Coturnix japonica: one gene and its partner. The protein of the gene in region 2 purifies or fractionates together with the protein of the main gene of each other region. This does not show direct contact. Links are inferred from orthologs where the notes say so. Each region holds a gene or a part of one and is shown on either strand. Other genes may lie near its edges. The genes, in order: SACM1L and COPE.

The links.
Region 1: the proteins of COPE (region 2) and SACM1L purify together in Homo sapiens (affinity purification with mass spectrometry; 4 studies listed by BioGRID and IntAct, with this or other methods). This does not show direct contact. The link is inferred for Coturnix japonica from reciprocal best matches to the Homo sapiens genes COPE and SACM1L.

The regions. Positions count from the first base shown.
Region 1 is NC_029517.1:39,390,916-39,394,737, forward strand, and holds part of SACM1L (phosphatidylinositide phosphatase SAC1), read right to left. Parts: intron 3,456-3,822; coding exon 3,422-3,455; intron 2,017-3,421; coding exon 1,915-2,016; intron 1,350-1,914; coding exon 1,264-1,349; intron 1,119-1,263; coding exon 1,032-1,118; intron 607-1,031; coding exon 538-606; intron 441-537; coding exon 361-440; intron 1-360.
Region 2 is NC_029543.1:2,778,533-2,781,421, reverse strand, and holds the end of COPE (coatomer subunit epsilon), read right to left. Parts: intron 2,671-2,889; coding exon 2,515-2,670; intron 2,258-2,514; coding exon 2,189-2,257; intron 1,738-2,188; coding exon 1,663-1,737; intron 1,118-1,662; coding exon 1,070-1,117; 3' UTR 766-1,069; downstream 1-765. UniProt on the Homo sapiens protein: The coatomer is a cytosolic protein complex that binds to dilysine motifs and reversibly associates with Golgi non-clathrin-coated vesicles, which further mediate biosynthetic protein transport from the ER, via the Golgi up to the trans Golgi network.

The DNA of each region.
Region 1 (3,822 bases), on a different chromosome or scaffold from region 2:
CACAGTGACAGTATCTACACTTCTGTAATGACACCATTAGCCTGAGACAACACTAGTTACTCATTTTAAGTTGTGGCTACTATATTTTCTCCCGAAAGCACATAAGAGAAGAAATGCATCTCCTTTCACCTGTGTCACTACCATGACCCTTGAATTCCCTCATTTGTTCTGTTTGTTCCATCTTCAGCCTCACCTGTGCATAAAATCTAAGGGGCAATGGCTACATAAAGGTTACTTCAAATGAACAAAACATCAACAAGTCAGCTGTTTAATAAAGGCCTTGAAAGCACTGATCACTCTGTTTCAGAGGCAACGCTGAGTTTTTAAGCTCACGAAAGTATAATTTGACTTCACGTGTACCTGACCATTCCATTTGCCATGCTAGTCACCATTTTTGCAAACGTCTGCTCCAGAGGCAGCTCAGAACCCTTTTGGTTAACCTGGAAAAAAGGGAAATAGAAAAAAAAATGAGAGCATTATTTATAAGCCTGCTTGAAAGAAGAGCAGCTTTCTCAAGAAGAACAAGGGAAAGCATACCAAGTTAACAATCATCTGCTTTCCATAGCTGATTATTTGAGAGTCAAAGTGTCTTTGGAAGCCATCCATCTAGAAAAGAAAGGAAATGCAATGACAGATTTAAGATCTGATTTACAAGAAACCCCTACAACCACTTTCCAATGATACTGCACACACAGTTTTATAGCACAGTGCTTGTTGTTCTCTACTGTGTTAACACACTTTTACTTTCAGTCCCCCACCCACACCCCCCCTTACCAGCTCTCCTTAAACAAGCTACAAGTATTTTCCAACTACAAAAACAAGAACCAAAGAGCAAACACTGCCCTCATTCAAACCAGGTGTTCTTTTGTCAGGTACTGAACTTCTTCCACAGAACACACGACTTCTCACTGCTACTCAATAATCCTCCATCTAATATTGCTGACTTTCACTCTTCTGATTACAGCCTGTCACACCACCCACCTACACAAGCCCAGAAATGCATTAAAGCCCCAAGACAAACACTCACATACATGATTTACTGACTTGCTGATCTGAGGCTTTGGTTTATATTTGAGGTTTGGTCTCTGAGACCAGAAAAAAGGAATTGATCCACGGGTCTGAAAAGAGAATGTAACAGTTTTAAACAACAAAACTTACTTGAGTTCGTAAAACAGAATGGTTTAGTTAACATATTTTTCAAATACAGACAGATTTATTAACACATGCCTTAAGCTAATCAGCAGTTTATTACACTGGCCTTACCTGAACAAATGATGCTTTGCTCCCCTTGTAATGCACAATTTGCTCTGTTTCAACAAAGTTAGCTGCGTGTCCTTCTGAATCAATACCTGGGTAGGATAGAGGCCTCGTTAAGAGCTCAGAGCACACCAGGACAGCAACAAGGTATGAAAAGGGTTTCTACCCTCAAAGCAAGTATGAAAACAGCAAACCTGCCTCAGGATGGCAAATTAAAAATGCCTCTGGCAGACCTTTAATATGATCTGTATCAAGTGTAGTTACTGAAGAGCCACAATTGTGCTCATCACATTTTGTGAATTATAGTCCTGATTACAGTCCTAGAAACTGAGTAGCTGAATAGGAAATAAAGCAACTGCTTGACACTAATAACTACAATTCAATAGCAAAGGTACTGCAGAAACTGACTTATTCCTTCAAAAGCATGCATTATTGAGACACACAAAACAAGCAGTGCTTCAAAGCTATTTCCCTTTCTAGTTTTTCACCTTTAATAATTAGAGAACATCACCGCTCAGGGCTGCTCTGGCAGCACCAGTGATGCTCTGTTTACTGCTAGGCCAGAAGGGCTGTGCTTGCATTTAACTCCAATCTAAGTGGGAAAGCAGTAGAGCTCCCTTACAGAACATGTACAGTAATCTCCATTTGCTATTTTACCTCTTACATAGTAGCGTACACCAGCTCTGAAACAGCTTCTTCTGGAAACAAGCAGCCAGTCAAAACACTTGCCATTAATAGAACAGGAATGCATAGAGATAACTGATGAATAACAATAAGGAAAAGAAAGCCAAACATTTCTTACATATCAGCAAACAGCCAAAGTGAAGGAACCAGAAGATAACACCCAAAGATGTATTTCAGGACTATAACAAATGTGGACCTGCTTTCAAATCCCCCACACACACTCACACAAATGAGAATGCACACCAAGCCTTCAGCAGGAACTTGAGTGATGTCTTCATTACCCAGGTAAGTCTACTATTTCTTCACACTGCAAGATTGGAACCCCACTCAAGATGCTGAACAAAATATATGTAGGTTTATATAGAAGAAGATCTGAGATTAATTAATTAGCTTGTAGTGAGACTATCACGGTTCTGCTTCAGGTTTCTCCTACCATTTTAATCACACACATGTTTCTTTGAATTCTTGGGCTCTTTAACACATTTGGTTAATGTCAGAATTACAGCACCGTGTATAACTTGTGCTAATTATTTATGTAATGAAAATAGGACAGAGGAAGGTTAACTGCAGAATGCCAATTGCTAATGGCAATCTATCCAGATTCTTCCACCCAGCCCCTGGCAGAGGCAGGATATGGGCTGCGCTGTTTTGACAGTTCCCTTTCACTATCTTTCCTTGACTCTCCACCTACTCCCACAACATTTTCCATTCAATGAAGTCACAGGAAAGAAGGACTGGAGATGTGCCAGCTGCTAACAGTCCTACCAGAACTACTGATACTGCCTGGAAGCCATTCCCCGCACACATCAGAGCAACCCTGCCAACAGAATGCTGCATAAGTTACTCTGTCAAGTCCTGGCAGTTCAAGAAGGAGTGGGTAAGTCAGAACCTGGGACCTGTTGATCACACACTGCTACCAGAGAGCGTTAAACTTGCTTACAAGGTTAAATTTTCTCCTTTTCTCAAAAGAAAACAAAACATCCCACTCAAAACCTTCAAGACTGATTTATTTGCTAGAAAGGTACTGGTGCAGGAAAAGCAGCCAGCTAGGAAGAGAGATCCAAGAGCCTTTTTATTCAACAACAGGAAGATTCACAAGTATTCCTCCAAATCAAAGCTAGTCTACCTTATTTTAAACTCAAAGGAAAACCTGCAAACTGCAGGTTTTCTTATACCAAAGTAAGAAGTGCTAAGGTTGACGTAAGAGTTTGCTACATTCACCCTAACCTTTACTTCCTTGAAAAGCAGTTATGCAAATCATGCCTGTAAAATCAATTACATGAAGCCTTCGAAGTAGAATATTTATACAAGTTAACATGTCAGTGGGCTACCAAATACATAGCATTCATATCTGAGCAAAACACCACTTAATTCTGACATTGTATTCTATGTTACATTACCAATGTAGCAACCCATGCAACAGTCATTTTTGCCACAGACTGCCAAATTCAGTACCGATCTTTACAGCAGGAAAGGATACATCCATGCATCACTGGCGTAGCAAACCTATGGATCTGAAACAGACAAGAAAGCCACACAATGCATTTAGAATTATTAAAAAACAGCAGACAAAAAATGGTAACTAATAATGGTTTCTCTGGAGGCTTTTAAGCGTAGTTTTATATGCTTGGAATTTGCTGCTTTTTGTTTTGGATGCAGTAATTCCTTCAGACATTCCTTCTGTTTTCACCAACCAGCCACTTGGCTTTCTTTGCTCTTCCCACCACAGGTTCTCTGATTTCCCCAGCTCTGTTTGCATAGCACCATCTAAAGCATCTACTCAGTCATATATCTTTGGAATATGCATAATAGCCTTTTGCTACTACCTATCTTCACATTCCAGAAGCAGGGCACAATCCAGCCTTAACAAGTGCTTAACAA
Region 2 (2,889 bases):
CATTGAAAAGAGCTGCTCGCTAAACAAGCCAAGGAAAGAGACAACGAGCTCTTTCAGAGCGATCACAGCGAGGTGGGCACAAAGGAAATGCCAGTTGGACACATTTACAGTGTAGTATAAACCCCCTCTTCTGCCTCCCCCCCAAAAACGCTTCCCAAAAGATAAATTCAAAAGAGAAATCAAATATTAGAGCTCAGGAGGCCCCGCTGAGGGATCCAGATGGGATCTTCGTATCTCTGACACAACACAACCAACCAACACAAAGAGCAGCCTGAAATGCTGCACGGGAGTCCAAGGCATCATCACACGGTGCTCTATTATGTTCCATTACACGTCAGGTGCAACGACCATCACGTTTCTCAGGAATGACTGGGGATAAATAGACTTCTGCATGTATTGCAGGATGTACTTTGTTAAGAGAAAGCTCTAATGCTTTCCTGGCTCCAGGACACGAGATGTTGCATTTATCAACTTAAGATCAGGGCTGAGCCTGTTACAATTGGATTATTTCTATTCTGGGGAAGCTTTCCCTCTCCCCAGCAGTAACCCCTACAGCTGTGCATCCTTCTTCCGGAGGACGTTAACCTAAATGGAGTCATTATCAGACTGAAAGAACAGCCAGGACTCAGGATTCATCCACCAACCCAAGTCTGATACTTGAAGTGAACCTTCACACTCTGCCCCCATAGGTATAACATCCTCAGTACATGACATGGCTCAGAACAGAATCACTTCTGTTTACTAATTTACATTTCAGAATGTAAATTAAGGGGCACACAGATCCAGAAAAGGCTTTATTAGGAATGTTTAAGGTACAGTGTTGCAAACTTGATTCGTATTTTAAACAGTTGAAACCCCAAGAAAGCCACAACACAGGCTTTTTAGCTACCAAGTTCAAGTAGCTACACGTTATATACAGACTTAGCAACGCTCTCCTGCATTGCAAGACCCTGCCACAGTGAGTTACACCAGACCCAACTTGCAAAGGCCATTTTTCCATGTGACCAGAAAGGATCTGAATAACAACCCCACTTCCCAGGTACCATAGAGCAGCTCTGTTCCCCTCTCCTCAGGCGCTGGGGGCATATTGCATGGCCAGTCGGTCAAAGTCATTCTCCTTCAAACCAGAAACAAAAATATAATGAACTAATTTCAAACATTACTGAAAAATGTCATAAAACTTGCAGTAACTCTCAGCTATAGAGTTCTATCAACCAGGGCAAAATGAATTCTAAAAAGCAAACTGTCCACATCAGTTCTCTATGATTTCATTCTCCCTTCCCTGTTATCTTCCTCTGCCCATCCCCTCCATTCTTTCTCATCCAGAAGATTTTCTCTATTTAAGCAGTGTCTCAACCTAACAAACAAGTCTGTAATCTGGGTTAGATGGACCTCAAAGCATTTCTTTCCAGATGCCACCAAATTCAGGGTATACTTCATCTATATATGTCGTATAGATACTCAATCTGGATGTTGATCATTTCCCAATGCATCTCACAAGGGCTAGAAACATTGCTGGCAGTGGTTAGATGCTGGAGAAGGAACATGGGCCGACCCTTTCAGAACCATAGACATGCTTACTAGTAACAAATCCCTCTGCCCCATCCTCTTGTTGCTGTAAGTCATTATAAACTCAGTTTCATATCGCAAAATAACAAGTACCTTTGCCTGATACTCCTTTATGAACGGATGGTTTTTATGTGCATCCTTCAACTGTGACAAATAACGATTTGTAACCTGATGGGATGAAAAAGGGAGATTTAAATACTGAAATAACACCAAGAAAAGCCAAAAAAGTTTAAACCGATACTTCTATGACTTCGTTCTCAATGAGCTAAGAGCTGATTTCTTCAGCACCCTCAATGTTAGCAGCCCCATTTAAATCAGTAAGACCTTCAATAGCAGATTCAACAAAAGGAGAAAATCAAGCTCAGAACTTGGGAGATCTCTTTCTCCACCCCAGGTTTTCCTCTGAAGTACATACCCCTGTCTACAGACAGACTTTATTGAATACTGAATACCACCCCGCACCCCAAAACTCCAAATCTATTTTATTTTCTTAACACCAATCCCAGTGAGAACACAAGACTGCAAAACCCAAACGTTATCAGGCACAGTAGGAACACACAACCTGCCCCCAGGCAGAGCAGCCTGATCTGCTTCTTGAGTACCATAAAATAAGCCTCACCTCTGGTGGTTTGCCCAGGTGTTGTGACAGGACAACAAAGTTGATCAAGGTCTCAGGATGGCCACTATCCTGGAAAGAAAAACAATCACCTGTCTTTGTGACTTATCCCTAACACAATAAGTGTAACACCTGGCACTGCTGTGCAAGAACAACTGACGAGCCCGTAGCTCACTTTAATAGAACAGGTAGAGTAGAAGGCAGATGTTAATAGCAACCACTCTTAGGGACATTTTCATAAAGCATAATGAAATTCCTTGCTGTTATAGCCTCTATGCGTAAGAGATAGTTAGATTCAAGCCAATTTGCCAGGCAAAACCATTAAGTACCTTGTCCAGTGCCTCTTGAAGTACCCCCTCTGCATCATCCCACTTGCCCTGAGCCATATAGCAGGCTGCCTGCCCATTAAGCAGGAGGAGGGTGGAGGAGCATTTGTCTGCCATCTCTTGGAAGATGTAATAGGCGTCCTGTAACTTCTCACCACCCTGCAAAAGGACACAAGCATGCAGTTTCACTGTGTATTGCTAAGAAGGCTGTATTCTGTTTTTGTGGCTAAAGAAAGGGGCCAAGAAGTTAATTTGAAGGGTTATAAAATGAGCTATTGTCATTCACAGAGTCTCCTCTGAGAGATCACTGTAAGACTACAGATGAAAGGAATGCAAAAATATTAAATATTAAGAAGCACTTAAATGATCAAAAGATCA